3 linked regions of the Callithrix jacchus genome follow. The protein of the gene in region 1 interacts with the protein of each later gene in a pairwise test. Links are inferred from orthologs where the notes say so. Each region holds a gene or a part of one and is shown on either strand. Other genes may lie near its edges. The genes, in order: WIPF1, FASTK and HOMER3.

Region 1 (5,661 bases):
TCAAAACACTTCCCGGGCCTCACCCCAGACTTACAGAATCAAGCTTTTATAAGCTTCTCATCACACCTGTGGCTAAGGATTAGCACACTAGTTAAGGTGTGTTACGCAGAATAGCATCACTCAACTAACTCAATTCTTATCGGATTCAACATACAAAGGAAGAGAAGCTTTGGTACACCTAGAGTTTTCATTACTCAAAACTAGACAAGGGACAGACTTAAGTTATTTTGACTTGATCTACATACCTATAACACCTACAGAGTGAGGAACAACGGACAAATGTCTGCCCTAGCAAACAAAAGTTAGGGCTGAGTGAGGACGTATTCATCTGTCACAGGGAGGTGAAACCTAAACTGTTCCTCAATTGAGGCAGAGATGGTGGGACATGATGTGAATGTGCTTATTAATCTTTTGATGCCTGGCATACAGTAAACACTTAATAAATATTTGTTAAGTGGAGAAATGAATGAAGGGCTGCCTCCATCCAGTTGGACGCCTCTGAATTCCCTGTATTTGGTCTGTACCTTTTTCACCTTATTTACCAAATTCTGCCTGCATTCCTGCTGTTTGAAACTGTGTGTCATTTCTACCAGAAAGTTAGCACTCAGGTGCAGACTTCATCTCTTTCTGAGCTACGTCTTCCTTTCTACCCACCTACCTAGCACAGAGTATAGCTAGAACCTCTAGCAGGGACCTGAGATGCTCAATGAGTATCTGGCTTGATTCCAACTGTGACCTGATTCTATGTGGGTCCCTGCTAGCCACAAGGCATAAATAAGCCTACCAAGCCTACAAGAACCATGGTATAATTGTGGATTGCTGGGAAACAGCAGCAGAGAGACCTCTGTGCAGAAACCATTAAGAATTCAGTAGACTGCATTGGAGGGAAGGCTTCAGGAAGACCACAGCCCTGGGAGTTAAATGCCAAATGTCAGATGCTTGAAAGCGAAGGGGTTATAGCAAAAAATAAAAGGCACTTTTGTTTCATTTATTCTCTCAGTATGTGTTGTGGAAACCACCTATGTTCCTAAAATTACAACCATAGTTAGAAACACCTTGAAATAGGAAAGATAATGACACAGACCCAGTAATGAATACTGTCTGCTAAAAGGGGTTCATGTCTGGCCATAGCACCTGAGACAGTAAATGTACAAGGTCAGGGCATACTACCCTCTCTTCACCACCCACCCTTCTGCCCATTATAGTTTTTGTGTCTTGGTGCTATGCTACACACTGCATGGTATTTGGATAGTATCTGTATCACGCTGCTTTTGCTGCTTCCTTCACACCCCTTTATCCTACATGATCCTCATACCCTGTAGTGGACGAAGAGCAAAGATTATCAACCCCATTTCTTGGATGAGGTAAATGAGGCTCAAATTGCATGATATGACTAAGGGCACCAGAAAGTTGGTGAATATATTAAAGACAATTTGTAAAATGAACATATCCCCCCAGCTGGCATGAATTTCCCCAGCTGGAAATAATCTCATTCTCTTTAAATATCCCGGAATTTGATCTTACCTTGCTTACAAATCTCTTTGCACTACATCACACAACCTAAAAGAGTGATGTTTTCATGGAGCCAAAGATATGACAGGGGTTGGTAGGTCCCAGGAAGGAAGATAATATTACTGAACTAGTTTCATAACATCTACAGAGTTTAGTCTGAACATTTCTATTCAACAGGTAATAGGCTCTCACAGGTGGCTGGGGGTTTAGACTATAGCACCTCCAGGTCTTGGAGAAACGCAGCCTTGTGGGGCTGACAGGGTCAGGTAGACACACACAGTCACAGTAGAAGGCAGTGTTGTGTGCACTGGAAAGGGATTAAGAGGCAGAGTGCTGACAGCCTATCAAGGGGTTTCTCATCTCAAGAAGTTATTACAAAAAGGTGATTTACAAACTAAAGTAGAACATTTCTTGGTGTTATTTTATCCATTACAAAAATAAGCAGTTTTGATAACGAAAAAACCTACCAACGACTCAAAATGAAGCTACAGTATTGTTTTGCAATTGCTTTGGGAAGCTGGCAAAAGAAAACCCACCCAACGTGGAATATGTTCACGGGCTCTGCGGCTGCACCCTCCTCGAGTCTGAGGCTACATGCAGCCAGGGATGGGGGAATGGGAGTGAGGAGCGGTCCAGAGGGGGTAGAACGGACACACGCTTTTCAGTGAAAGGGACCAAGTCCACTTGGTCACTGAGCCAACTTGAAAGGCTTCCCAGAGAACTCAGTAAGGCCAGGAGCCCGTGGCTGAAGAAGGAATATTCCAATTTAAGCAGGACCAGAAGACCTCGCCAGGATGAGTTCCTCACACAGCCACACCCTTTGTTAATCGCAAAGACCTCAAAGTCCAACCACCAGTGATCTGACTTGGAGCTTTTAGCGATTAACAAAAGCTCACAGCGACTGGGTCAGCTGCTTTCCCTTACATTCGCAACGTTAACAGTTCTTTCTTTAAAAAGAAAAGTGTGTGTAGTGGAAAAAGGTAGGGGACGCGAGACTGCAGTGAAGCTGTCTGGAGAGTTCGGGGGAGCACCCCCCTCAACCATCCCCACTCGTGGTGAAAAGTCGTGACGGGGACTGGCCGTGCCTCTGAGGCCGACGCAGACCCCTAACGCGCCAGTCTACACGGACCTGGAGCAAGCGGGCGGCCCGGGAGCGCCGGGAGGGAGGCGGGCTGGAGCGCGGGAGGGGCACGGTTCCCACAGCCAGGCAGGCGGGCGGTGCCAGAGCTTGAGTCGGCCCCAGGGGATGCCCGAACGTCCCCCTCCGTCCTAGGTGGGGTGTAGGTGCGGCCCCAGGACATCGCCGCGAAGCCCCTACTCGGGAACTACGGAGATAGTGGGTCTCGAGCCCCAACGGGCGGCCCTGGGTCCGCGGAGCCCAGCGGTGCGCCCAGCCCAAGGCGCGGGACCCCGGCAGTCCACCGCCCCTTCCTCCCGGGGCCATCGGCCAGAGCAGAACGCGCGGACCACGGGCCCGGAATCGCGCCCACCGCTCTCAGGGGACGCGGCCTCGACGTCCCCGGCCGCCCCGCCCGCATCACCGTTCCAAGCGGCGCTTCTGAGCCCCGCCATCGAGCCCAGCCCCACCCGGTGTCCCCCCCCCGGGACCCCGGAACCCCGGTCGCGCCAGACGCGACGCGTCCCTTACCGCACAGCGGCTCCGGACGACTCCACTGCCCCGCGCCGCGCGGGGCATTTTTTCTGGGAAACTTCTCCCGGGGTCCGCAGGGCTGAGCCGGGCGGGCAGGAAAAGCTCTCAGCGCCGGGAGGCTGCGACCATCCGGGAACTTCGCCGAGATGTGGGCCCTCCCCCTCGGCGCCCCGGCCCCCCCCCGCCGCCCCGCCACATGTGGACGCGCCGCGAGGCCCCGCCGGCTCGCGCCCTGCCCTCCGCCCGCCCGCCCGCCCGCCCCGCAGGCAATGGGGCTCCGCGCCCGCAGCCTCGGCCGGCAGAGGAGCGCGGCGGGGCGTGATTGTCGGGGCTGGAGTCAGTGGTTTCCCCCGTCCCGCTCCCCTGCGGGGCGAGGGGGCCGAGGCCAGGGCGCCTGGGACAGGAGTTTGCAGAGGAGAGGGAACTGGAAGGGGAGTAGCTCAGGGCCTTTCCCCTCAACCCTTGAATCCTCTCTACCTCCTCGTGGCTGCTGGCGTCAGTCTCCCCCAGCCGGAGGGAACACCTTTTCCCACGCTTTCCCCTCTGCTCTCAAAAACAGCGGGTCCAACTTTCAGATGTCTGAAAATCAAATTCATTTTTAAAGATGGATTTAAAATCTGAGTGAACCCCACGGAGACCCAAGGTCCGTATGCATCTGACTCCTGCCTACTGTGTAGGGACAACGTGCTACTCTTCCCTCGAAAAGATGCCGCTTCACCCCACCAGTCGGTCGGAATTGAGTCGTTTTGCCGCCAGTGGGGATGGATTTATCCTCAGCCACCCACATCCTTAAATACGGTAGGATCCACAGCAAACGTGGAGAAACGTGAAGCTCTACTCCATTGCCAGAGCTAACTCCTGCTCATAAGGAGGCTCTGTCCAGTTCAGAGAGCTGCCACCTCCAGGCCCCAAACAAAAGTTAACACTCACTAAGACGATGCGGCCGCTGGGAGAGTGCATTTGAAAGTTCTCGTCAGTATAGTAACAATCGGATCATATTGTTAAAATATCAAGGCTGTGTATCGGTTTGAATAAAAGCAGGAGGGTGGGACTATAAAACCACCTTTGCAAAATTATAACTGAGGAAATTGTGACAGTGAAAGAAATCAGACCTACAACCTACTCTATCTTGCTTCTAACCTTTAAAGTGTACTTGTTCACTCCTGGGTGTAGCCATTGAGAAATAATTCAGTTTATGTTTTAACTGAAACAAAATTGGTAATATCCCTTTCCCAGAAAGATTCCCTTCTTACCTGGGGACCAGTCTGCCTCACAGGACTAACAAATTAGCTATACGATTAGAAATTACAGTTTAGGGTTCATGCAGCCTCTCTCCCGCTCTGAAAGTCTGAACCTCCCCAAATTACTGCTGGGGATAACAATACTGTTGTAAAACCTAAGATCAGTGGTTGAGATATTTTACAGACCCTGAACTCAGTTACCAGATACCACCCAGATAGGTAATCTGGCTTAACCAGTTCTGCCATCCCACCTAGGAACAGAAAAGAGCAAGAAAAACTCACTTTGATCCCCCACCATGAGTCCATCTCCAATCTGACCAATCAGCACTCCCTACTTCCCAAGCCCCTACCTGCCAAATTATCTTTAAAAACTCATCCCAGAATGCCCAGAGAGACTGATCTTAGTAATAATGAAACTCTGGTCTCCCGCACAGCTGGCTCTGCATGAATTCGTTTTTATCCATTGCAATTTCACCGTCTTGATAAATGGGCTCTGTCTAGGCAGCGGGCAAGTTGAACCCATTGGGCAGTTACAAATAGATGCACTTTAAAATTGTTACACTATGCTGAGGGGGCTTCACGGGATCCCGGCTTTCTCTGCTCCTGTACCACTCCCATGTGCACACGTATCTCTCGACATGTTTTTAACAGATACAATGATGCTTCTGGGAAAGACATTTAGTAACATGGGAAACTTCCCATTGGCAAATTTTTGTCTAAATGTACCCATCTTTTTAAGGTACATTAACCATTTGCCTTTCTTTTTAAACCATTTCTATGGTAATACACATATGTTATATTTTATATAAAATGAAGACAAGCAGTTTAATATATAAATATATTACACCAGACTTGAAAACAGATCAGTAGCCCTAACCACAGTGTAGCAAGGAAATTAAGCCCAGGAGCTGCCTGGTCCCCTTACTAGTTCTCTAAGCCTCATTTTTTTGCTCCAATAAAATAGGGATAATAATATTTCCCAGCTCCTGGGATTGTTGTAGGGATTAAATGGGATAATCTCCCTAAAGATGAGCAGAGTGTTGGCACACAAGTGAATAGGAATCTTATCTTTGATTCCCCAGTGTTCAGCAGAGCTCAGTACCTTGTAGGGAAGTGATTAAATGCTTGTTGAGATAAGAACTCTCTTGAGTTCATGTGTCTCAGGAATCTGTAGAAATTTCAGCATTGAAATACACTAAAGAAAATTAGGAAGATAAAATTTTTCACACTTCATGTCATCGTTGAAAGCCAAAAATA
Region 2 (5,661 bases), on another chromosome or scaffold:
GGCAGGACCTTGGTGGGTATGGCAGGAAGGGGTCCTGGGTTCTCACGGGAAGCACAGCACCAGAGCTGCCGACACACAGCAGGAAGTCTGGAGGGGGAGCAGGGCAGGTGGTCTTAGCCAGGGCTCCGTCTCCCTGGGCCTGCCGCTGGCCCCTCACTCACCTGTGCAGTAGCCTGGAGGCACGGTCAGGTCCTGGCGGTATTTCTCCTCCCCCAGCAGCTGGCGCAGCCCCTCAGCTACTATGTCCTTGTGACTGAGGAGAAAGGACACCAGTAGCAGGAAGGGCCCAGTGCCTCATCCTAGTCTGACCCAGTCTAGTGCTGCCACCCTGCTGGGCAAAGCCCTCTGCTGCTTCAGGGCCGTTTTCTTTATGGCGGCTGAGCACCTAAGCTTTGGCAGTTCCTGGTCCTGCTAGCTTTTCTACTCTGTGCTGCTCTCAGGCCAGCCCCTCCCCTTGCCCCAGGCTGTCCCATCCACCTGTACTTGCAGCGGGCACGGTCGGTGATGAGAGGCTGGGGAAAGATGGGCACTTGCTGCCTTCGGGGAAGGCGAGGACCCCGGTATCCTGGGAGCTCCAGCTCCACGGCCGTGTCCAGCAGGGAGAGGTAGCGACGCACAATCAGAGCATGAGGGGTGCCTGTGGGGAGGCGGGGACTGGGGCTCCGGGCTGCAGGCCACCCTGCTCCCCTGCCTTTCCAGCCCTCGGGGCCCCAGCCAGCCATCCTGGCTGCGTACCACTGATGTAGTTGATAAAGCCAGGGGAAAAAACAAAGTGCAGGGCTCTGAAGGGCAGGCACCGCAGTTGGCACAGTGACATCAAGATGTTGACCGTAGCCAGGGGTGCCACCCCTGCTTCCCGAGCCAGGATCCTCTCAAGGCAGGGCATAAACTGCTGTTCCAGAGGCAGGTAGTTCAGCCGCCCAAAGGGCAGGACCAACTTCTGTACCACCTGTGAAGGAAGAGCAGTTCATTACCCAGTGTGAAGTGTTTCTGCAGTCATCTTTCACAAGCTAAGCCTCAGGGAGGCTGAGCCACGTTTATAACATTGCTGTGAAGACAGGACAGTTCCTCCAGCCTCACAGTTCAACAGCAAAGCAGTCATGAGCTGCATGTGACTAACCACCAAACAGGCAGAGGCGACATCACTGTGGCGTCTGGCCCTGAAGACTTCCAGGAGGGGGATGGGTGGAGCTAGGATGGTGCTAAGAGTGCTTTGGGAAACTGCACAGTTCCAGGAATACATGCTGCTGGCGGGAGGTGGGCAAGCCACAGAGAAGGTGTGGAAAAAGATGCAGGTCCCAGGAGACGGAGAGGGTGTGTCTGCTTCAGGAAGAGGACAGCCAAGCTGGACAGTGCGCTGGGCCTGACCAGGACCCTGAGAATGACTCAGAGATGCACAGGAGGTGGGAGGCAAGCCCACCTTGCTGCTGAGCTGGTTTTCCTGAACCACCAGGAAGCGGGCAATGGCTTCCAGAAGCTGGGGCTCCCGTAACCGGTGCCGGGCCAGGTGCTGGGCCAGGAGCACCATCACATGGGGCGTCAATTCCTCTGGTCTTGTCTCTGTGAAGAACAGCCTGTCACAATGGGCCTCAGGCCGGACCTCCAGCTGGCTCAACTCCACTTCAGCCTAGCTAACTGAGCCCACTTTCCGCCTCCTGTCAGCCCTCCTCATCCCTATCTGCCTTTAAGCCCCTCCAGCACCTGCCAGGCTGCTGATCAGATGCTGCCGTGGATACCGCAGAAAACGGGGGCAGCTCAGAGCAGCTTCCAGCCTTTGCCCACCTCGGAGAAGAGACGACAAAGGGGGAGGTGGCTTCGGAGGGAGGCGGAGCCTTCGCTCCTGCTCCAGGGCACGCACCAGGGGACCATCAGCTGGAAAGCCTGAGGGGAGAGGTGAAAGGCAGCCTGGTAACAGAGCTGTGCAGCTGTTCTAATCATGGGGTTACTTGGTGAATTCCCCACGTTTCTCCTCTCCACCTCCTGAGTGGGAAGGTGTGCTAGAGTTTAAGTGCAAACACGGAGAAATGTAAGCTATCATGTGACTATGAGGGATCAGAACAGTCTTTGGGGAATACATACAAAAATGGCAAAATAGGCTTTCATCTTGTGCCAATTGTGACAAAGTATAGTGGCTTCCTAGGGCACTCTATTATCAAGAATCTGGGGTGGCACCCTAGCGAGGCTAGAATGAGTGCGTTCGACTCTTGTCTGCCGCAGACACGGAACGGGAGCAAGAGCAAGCGTTCCTCGGCACACGCCTGACAGGCTGGGTCTCTGTCCATGGTCCTCTCCTGTTTTCCCTATTCTTCATTAACACCCAGCAGCCCCCCAGGCGCCCACCTCAAGCCCCTCCTCACCAAGTAAGACTGCAAGGTGCAGACACACGTGGATGGTGTGCATGTCAAAGGCGGGGCAGTTTCGGATGATGAGCTGACTCAAGTCCTGTAGTGTGGCCTGCTCCACAGGAGGGGGCCGTGGCCGAGACCCCAAGAGTTGGCCCAGACGACGAAGCGCGACCGGATAGTGGTGGGCGCGCACCTTAGTGGGGTTCTGGCCCAGCCAGCGCAGCAGCTCCCCAGGGCTCCTCGCCTGTTCCAGAAGCCGCTGCAGCCCTTGCACATGACCTGTACTGGGGCCTCCTCCAGGAGGCCAGTCTCCCCATTTGCTGGGCCCCAGACAGCAGGGCTGTACTGGAGGGATCACCAGCAAGCCAGACAGCCGAGTAGGGGAGGTCTGAGCAGAGAGCAGGACTCGAAGCATTGAGTTGGGTGATGGAGACCCTGAGGGGCAGCCCAAAAAAGGGGGTGAGGTTTTCTCCAAGAGGAGAAAGACCTGCTACCTACTGCTTACCTCACTCCTCATTCGGGGGACCTGGGTTCCAGCAACCCTTTGTGACTGCTCTGGGCCTCTTCCCCGCCCCGCCCCTCTGCCTCTTTCCACTCCTTTGAAACGGCAATCATAATCCTCAGTGCGCTCAGCGCGGAGCAATTCCACATGCACCATCTCTGATGCTCCTTACACGCCCAGGTGGAGTAGGCAGGGCTGGCATTACCTCATTTCACCGGTGAGAAGCGCAGGCCCAGAGCGGCGAAAAGATTAAGCCCGGGGTCATTAACCCGGTTAGTGGTCGCGCCCAGTCTGGAGCCCAGGCGACACCGGCGTGCGCTCTCCCGACCACCTCCCTCTCCCGCAGTAGGAGGAGGCGGCAAAGAGAGTGGAACGCCGGGTCCGCGGCTGGACGGTGCTGGGTTCCATGCTGGGCGCTCCCACTTACCAGCGGCATGACCTTGGACAAGTGGCTTCGTCTCTCCAAGTCTCCTCACCCGTGAAATGAAAACGCAGCGCCCACCTCGCAGGGAGCGCCCGGGGCCCGAGTGCGCCGCTATGCGATGGCGCGGAGTCGAAGTCGGGGGCCCCACACCCACCCAGGCCCAGGGACGCCAGGAGACCGTGGCCGCTGCCGCTAACACCAGCTCCCGCAGCCCTCCCGCAGCCCGCCCCGCAGGCGCCACCCCTACATGACTCCCCGGGCCCTGCGCAGGTCGCTCCCTCAGTCGGTCTCGGGGCCCGGGGGCCAGGCTCCCCCCGCGGCCTCCTCATCGGCTGGCCGCCGAGTCCGCCATCTTCCCAGCAGCCCCTGGAACGCGGCCGGGACACCAATCCCGGAGCTGCGCTCGGCCAGCGGAGACGTGGCTCCCGGCAGGCACTGCGAGCCAGGGAGCCGCGAGCCCGCCCCCGGGAAGTGCGCGCGCGACGCCGGGGGCGGGACCACGGAGGCCCGCGCCGAATCCCAGGCGGAACACCCAGAAGGGATAGCGGTGGACCAGAGCGTCCGGAGCAGTCTGTACCCTTCTCTCCCAAGCGGCGAGGGCTCCCCGCCCGCCACTCCGCACACACTCAGACACACTGCAAGAGTGAAAACTTCACAGTTACTTTAATCTGCACGGGTTCCGAGGAACTCCTCTGCCCCTCCCCGCTCCCCTTCACCAGCCTCCCACGGTCCTGGCGTCCCCAACTCAGCCCATGGTGCTGTCAGGGACTGGAGGCGGCTGGGTCCTCCGGCAGCACGTTAAGACGGGCCCGGGGGGCGGCCCGTCTCTGCCCGGGGCCTAGGCAGCGACAGCAGGTCCCTGACCCCGAGGAGCCGACTCCCAGTGCTGGCTGAGGGCCAGCAGCCCCGGGAGGCGGCCCCGAGCCACGGCGAGCGCAGGGCTGGGCCTCTGCCAGCCCCGGGAGTCCTCTGCGGTGCAGGGCTGGGCTCCAGGGCAGCGGGAAGAGGCAGGCCGGAGAGGCGGGCCTGGGCAGGCAGCAGCTCCCGCCACGGCGCGGGGAGCAAGGTCCAGAGGAGCCAGCGATGCCGCCAAGCGCCCGCGGAGGCACTACGGGCGGTACATGGCAAAGGCCAGGAGACTGAGGAGCAGGGTGAAGCCGGCCAGGCCCAGAGTGGCGGTCAGGGGAAAGAACGGCCGGTACTGGATCTGGCAGTACCAGAGCAGCAGCAGCAGCAGGAGCAGCAGGGGCAGCAGCAGGCTGCCTATTTCCAGCCCGGAGGGGCCGGGCTCGGACCCCGGAGGGCAGGGGGGACTTGGGGGGCCGACCCTCGTGGACACGTGGCAGTGGAGAACGCAGTTGGGAGGGAGGTGAAGGCTGCCCAGGGTCTGGGTGTCGTCGCCTAGCAGCTGCCCTTGGTAGATGAGTCGCACCTGCTGTTCCCGGCCGGGAAACTGGGTCCTGAGGAGAGAGGGACCTGGGTAAGAGAGCAGGCCTCAGGCAATCCTAGTCCCTGGTCCCGGAGCAGCACTCCCACCCTCCCCCTGCCCTCCGCACCGCACAGGTCCTGGCTTGGGAGGGGCCATCTGCCAGGGAAACAAGTGTAGTTGTGATGTGGGGCGCTCATCGCCTCCAGTATAAACGAGGGCTGGGTCTCAGACCTCTCTGGGAGCCTTCTGCTACTAGTCCCCCCATCCCTGTCTTTAGCATTGCTCCTGCCTCTTGCCCTGCTTACCTTTTCAAGGAACCAATGGTGTCGTGGGGCCAGGCCCTGGCCACCTGCTCTGAATCATTGAGGAATTTCAACCGTAGCACGAGGGGCTCCTGCGGGGAGTCCAGGGCTGGCTGTGTCGGTGTTGCTGTGACCCCAGTGCTGGGCTCTGGCTGTGCAGCTTGACCTCTGTGTCTCAGGCTGGGAGTCTCTGGCCCTGGGGCCTCCCCTCTCATGCTGTCGGTAGCTGCCATGGCTGCGCTGGGCTGGGCTGGCGATGGGGTCCCTGACAGCTGGGGCAGTGGGTCCCCGCCCTCAGCGGTGTGCGTTGAGACCCAGGCAAGGGCCAGCACCAGAAGGCAGGCAAGCACCGAGAAAAGGACGGTCACCTCATCACCCACCCCTTCAATCAGGGTCATGGCGCTTGCCTTGCCCGCCGCACTACCGAGCTGGAGAGGCACAAAGAGCCCGTGAGGCGCGAGCCCCCCGGGCTAGGGGCCCTAGAACCTCCACAGGATCCTGCCCCCACTCCACCGCTATGATCCCACCGTCCTCAGCCCGTCCCCTCACCCACCCCAGGGTACCGGCTGCTCTGCCTCCCAGTTGCCCCAAACTTGCGTCCGGGTGCCCTTTCCCATCGCCGAATCCCAAGTCCTAACTTTCTGTCATCTGAGCTCGAG
Region 3 (4,891 bases), on another chromosome or scaffold:
CACGCTTAGAAATGTAATCTGGGGATCTAGAAATTCTACACAATGAGAAGCTCAAAAACAGCCCCCATGCTGTCAACAGCCAGAGCCAGCTGGGGCCCACCCTACCCCGGCCCACCCGGGACCGAGTTGGGACCCCCCGGTCCCTTGCCAGGACAAATGGGTCCAACTACGCCGCCTGCGGCCTGAATCGTTCATAGAGAACCAGCCCTGGCTCAGGGTGCAGCCTCAGCCAGGCGGGCCAGGCCCTCACGAAGCTCACTCAGCTCGAACAGCCTGACGTCCAGCAGCTGCGCTGCCCGGCCCACCTCGGCCCGTGCCCGCTCCCGCTCCGCCCGCGCCTCCTCTAGGCTGCGCTCCATTGCCCGCAGCTGGTGCTCCAGCTCCGTGTTGCGGGTTTCCAGGTCCTGCCAGGAAAGGGTGGGCGGGGTGGGGGCCCCAACAAGTCACCGTGCCTGTCCGAGGTGTCCAGAGTCTGACGGCTTCATGTCCCTCTTTTACCCAAAGCCCTCCTAGGGCACCAATCACACTGGGAATAAAATCCAACCCCCCCAGGGATCTGGCTTCTGCCCTCATTTCTAAGAGACAGGGTTTTGTTCTGTTGCCCAAGCTGGAGTGCAGTGGCACAATCCTAGCTCACTGTAGCCTCCAACTCCTAGGTTCAAGCAGTCCTCCCACCCCAGCCTCCCAAGTAGCTAGGAATACAGGTGTAAGGGAAGCAGGTCCTGTAACATCTCAACTTGTTGGGCTCACAAGAAGTGCCCCCTGGGCTGGGCACAGTGACTCATGCCTATAATCCCAGCACTTTGGGAGGCAGACGCAGGTGGCTCCCCTGAGGCCGGGAGTTCAAGACCAGCCTGAACAACATGGTAAAACCCCATCACTACTAAAAATACAAATATTAGCTGTATGTGGTGGCAGGCACCTGTAGTCCCAGCTACTCAGGAGGCTGAGGCAGGAGAATCGCTTGAGCCCAGGAAGTGGAGGTTGCAGTGAGCTGAGATTGCGCCACTGTACTCTGGCCCCAGTAACACAGTGAGGCCCTGTCTCAAAATTAAAAAAAAAAAAAGGTATCCCCTGAACATTTCTCAGATAAAGCCTGTAGCAAAAGCCAAGCCAAGGCTGGGCGTGGCAGCTCACTCCTGTAATCCCAGCACTTTGGGAGGCTGAGGGTGGATTGCTCAAGGTCAGGAGTTTGAGACTAGCCTGGCCGATATGGTAAAACCCCATCTCTACTAAAAATACAAAAAATTAGCCAGGCATGGTAGCACACACCTGTAATCCCAGCTACTGAGGAGGCTGAGTTAGGAGAATCGCTTGAACCTGGGAGGTGGAGGTTGCAGTGAGCCAAGATTGCGCCACTGCACTCCAGCCTGGGCGACAGAGTGAGACTCCATCTCGAAGAAAAAACAAAAAAAGCCAAGCCACACCTGGTTCCAGTGCAGGCTCTGTGATTTCCGGCTGAGAACAGGAGGAAATGACAGGGTCTGGCGTGGGAATGCAGCCGGGACTCGAGATTGCCTGCTGAACCCACTGTTCACACAGCGCCTGCCGGCCATCAGGCCTGGCGCGGGCCTGGGACTCCCAATACTACTTTATCATCTTAGGTAGATCGTCCCAATTGTCTGTTGAGGTGATGGTCACCCACCTTCACCCCACCTCCTGGCGCCCACACACACCTGCACCTTCTGCTGAGTCTCCTCGCGCTCGGCAGCCTCTGGGGCTTCTCGGGGCCCCCCAGTCTGACTCTTCAGGGTCTGGATCTCCTAGAGGAAAAGAGTTCCCAGGGTCTGTTCTGGGGGTCCTGGCTTTCCCTCTGGAGGTGAGGGAGGACGAGGCCCGGGAACCATACTTGGCGCTCACCTGGTCCTTGGTTTGCACCAGAGCTTCCAGCTGCTCCAGTGACTGGCCCTGGCCCGGCCCCTCCTTCTCACTGGCTGGGGTCACCTCTGAAGCTGCCTGGGCCTCCAGCTCAGCCACCTGTGGGACAGGAATAGCAGCCCCTACCACCCCTGCCTGCACTCTCCCTTGCTCCCCCAACCTCTAGGGACTCTGCCTCCTGTCCAGCCACATCCAGGACCGAGCACCCAACTCCCTTGGTTGGTGGCACCTCCCCCACTCACGTAGCTTGGACTTTAGGGTCTGATCACCCTCTGAAGTTGGCATTGTCTCACACGCATTTTACAGAGCAAGGAACTGGGGCTGGGACAGTGACCTGCTGAGGTCACCCGGCCAGTCCATGCACCCAGGGCAGATGGGACTGGCAGAGGCGTGGGCTCCACAGTTGCCCGGGTCAGGTGGGGGGCTCTCTTTGGGAGGGGGTGCCCTTACCCGCTGCCGCAGCCGCTCAGCCTCTGCACGCTGAGCCTCCAGCTGCTGCCTCCACTGGGCTGCGGCTGCGTTGGCCTCCCGCAGGGCGCCTGCCAGCTTGTTGTTGCTGTCCTGCAGCGCGAAGAACTCGGCCTCCCACTGTACCTCGCCCACGGAGCTGCAGAAACGCAAGGGTCGGCAGGGGGTGACATGGGGCTAGAGCGGGGGCAGTCAGAGGGCAATGCTGGGGTTGGGATCGGGCCAGGGGTTGGGATCGGGGCCAGGGGTTGGGATGGCTCTGGGCTTGGGTGAGGACGAAGCTTGGAGAGGGTGTGAGGTTGAACTAGGGCGCAGGGCCAGGGTGGGGTGGCACTGACCTGGGGGTGGAGTCAGTGGCGATGCTCCACTAGGGGGCGGGGCCAGAGGTGGGTGGTGTGGGCTGGTGCGTGGCCAGGCGCGAGATTGGGCTGGGGGTGGTGTCAAGGACAATGCTGGGTAGGGGGCAGGGCCAAGGGTGGGGTGGCGTAGGGCCAGGGGATGGACTCAGGGCCACGGTGTGCTGGGGACGTGGCGACACTGGGCTGGGCTAGGAGCGCAGCCAAAATAGTGCGAAGCTTGGGGATGGGGCAGTCCCGAAGAGGCGGGGTCTTGTCAGGGACCTGGTCAAAGAAGTGGGCACATGGGGTCCGCCCAGTAACACTGTCGGGATGGCAGAGGAGGGTTGGGAGGTTGAGGAGAGTCAGCCAAGGGGGGCGTGGTCGGGGTGGGGAGGCGCCCCAGGTTTATCCTAAGCCCGAGAGGCATGGATGGGGCGAGGTTATCAGCCAGGAGACAGGGACCGGTTCAATACAGACCGGCCTGCCAAAGCCGTGGGCGGGGTCGGCTCTGGATGGAGCAGCAGCGGGATCAGCTCCTCCCCTTTCCCAGGTCTTGGGTCCACAGTTAGATCCCGCAGTCCCTGGCACTCCCTTGGCTTTCGAGAACCGCCTCCAAGTCCCGCATCCCCACCCCGTCCCCTGCCGCGCCCCAAGCCCCGCCCCTCACCCCTCGGACAGCATCTTCTTGAGTCGCTCGCGCTCTGTGGGGCCGGGGGCGTCAGCGCTCTGACTGCGGAACAGTTTCTCCTCACCCGGGCCGTTGGCACTGACGAGGGGACTCGGGGGCACCTGTGCACGGGGAAAAGAGCAGGTCACGATGAGTAGTAGCTTCTGTCAGTGGCTGGGATCAAGGCTGATGTGACCGGGGTCGTCACATCAGGGGGTCCAACTGACCTATGCACCCTAAGCAGGTCCTTCACAGCACCGGATCCGAATGTGTCCCTCCCCATCTCACCCACCCTCCATGGCTCCCTGTGGCCCCTAGGCTGAGAGTTCCAGGCCCATGCCCTCAGCCTTGCCTTCCTGGGGTTTCACCACCCCTAGGAGCAAGTCTGATGCAGGTTAGTCTAAACCAAGATACTTAGAACCTCCAAGGTAGGGGAGAGGGACAATCGGACAGCTCCATGCTGTTCCCTTCCCTGTTCTGTTCCCTGTGGCCCGTTTAGGATTTCAGCAGGAAGCCCTGCCCAGGCTGAATTTGTGTTTCATGAGCCACCCCAAAGCCTGGACCGCTGGCTCTGAGGGTAGAGTTCAGCCTGTTTTTCTAAATCTCTGCAACCCCTGTGCACAGCCCTGGGCCTGGTACACAGCAGGCGCTCAATAAATGATGCTGAATAAATTAATGTGGGAAAACACACAGGGCCAGTTCATTGCTGTGCCTCACACTTAGCCATTTCTTTCTGTCACACTGTGTCACCAGGCTGGAGTACAGTGGCATGATCTGGGCTGACTGCAACCTCCACTTCCTGGGTTCAAGCAATTCTCCTGCCTCAGCCTCCCAAGTAGCTGGGATTACAGGTGCACGCCGACACGCCTGGCTAATTTTTGTATTTGTTAGTAGAGATGGGGTTTCACCATGTTGGCCAGGCTGGTCTCAAACTCCTGGACTCAAGCGATCCTCCCACCTTGGCCTCCAAAATTGCTGGGATTATAGGCATAAGCCACTGCGCCTGGCCACACTTAGCTATTTCAATTTCTAGTCTTCCATTCTGCCATCTGAGCTGGTTTTGCTACTGGGACCTACTGGGTGCCCCCTGCCGACCCCAGGCAAGGCCCAGACCCTCCATGACATGCTCCACACCCCTCCTCCATGGCCCCTGCCATGGGTCTAACTTTAGGTCATCTGGGAGCATTGGGTCTTGAGGACTAGCACAGTGCCTGGTCTCCTAATATCAAGGTCCCCCCAATCCTGGGCCTGGTTGACTCACAGGTGCCCAGGAAGCATAGGGGGGCAGGGAGTGCTGACCTGGTGGGAGGCGAGCCCCAGGGCTGGACTGGTGAGCTCCCCGCCATCCTGAGATTTCTCCCTGGCCAGCCTGGCTGCTTCCTTCACTTCCTGAAACTTCTCGGCAAACTAGGGGAGTGGGGAGGAACAGACAGTCAACCCCCAGCCCATCCCCACAAACCAGGTAACCGCCACCCAGCGACAGCCCTGTCACTTTGGAACTGTACCCATTCTCTCATCACACACTGTGGAAGAAGGAGAG

The links.
Region 2: the proteins of WIPF1 (region 1) and FASTK interact in binary tests that used the Homo sapiens proteins (3 or more experiments, as listed by UniProt). The two-hybrid records come from large-scale screens. The link is inferred for Callithrix jacchus from reciprocal best matches to the Homo sapiens genes WIPF1 and FASTK.
Region 3: the proteins of WIPF1 (region 1) and HOMER3 interact in binary tests that used the Homo sapiens proteins (3 or more experiments, as listed by UniProt). The two-hybrid records come from large-scale screens. The link is inferred for Callithrix jacchus from reciprocal best matches to the Homo sapiens genes WIPF1 and HOMER3.

What each region holds. Positions count from the first base shown.
Region 1 is NC_133507.1:54,781,097-54,786,757, reverse strand, and holds the start of WIPF1 (WAS/WASL-interacting protein family member 1), read right to left. Parts: upstream 3,304-5,661; 5' UTR 3,161-3,303; intron 1-3,160. UniProt on the Homo sapiens protein: Plays a role in the reorganization of the actin cytoskeleton. Contributes with NCK1 and GRB2 in the recruitment and activation of WASL.
Region 2 is NC_133512.1:97,130,982-97,136,642, reverse strand, and holds the start of FASTK (fas-activated serine/threonine kinase), read right to left. Parts: upstream 3,640-5,661; 5' UTR 3,601-3,639; coding exon 3,519-3,600; intron 2,781-3,518; coding exon 2,358-2,780; intron 1,882-2,357; coding exon 1,702-1,881; intron 1,561-1,701; coding exon 1,421-1,560; intron 950-1,420; coding exon 736-949; intron 638-735; coding exon 478-637; intron 254-477; coding exon 162-253; intron 88-161; coding exon 1-87. Other genes in the region: TMUB1 (transmembrane and ubiquitin-like domain-containing protein 1), read right to left, coding at 4,380-4,731, 5,006-5,400. UniProt on the Homo sapiens protein: Phosphorylates the splicing regulator TIA1, thereby promoting the inclusion of FAS exon 6, which leads to an mRNA encoding a pro-apoptotic form of the receptor.
Region 3 is NC_133523.1:17,622,942-17,627,832, forward strand, and holds the end of HOMER3 (homer protein homolog 3), read right to left. Parts: intron 4,759-4,891; coding exon 4,651-4,758; intron 3,474-4,650; coding exon 3,352-3,473; intron 2,486-3,351; coding exon 2,329-2,485; intron 1,978-2,328; coding exon 1,861-1,977; intron 1,764-1,860; coding exon 1,677-1,763; intron 405-1,676; coding exon 213-404; 3' UTR 1-212. UniProt on the Homo sapiens protein: Postsynaptic density scaffolding protein. Binds and cross-links cytoplasmic regions of GRM1, GRM5, ITPR1, DNM3, RYR1, RYR2, SHANK1 and SHANK3.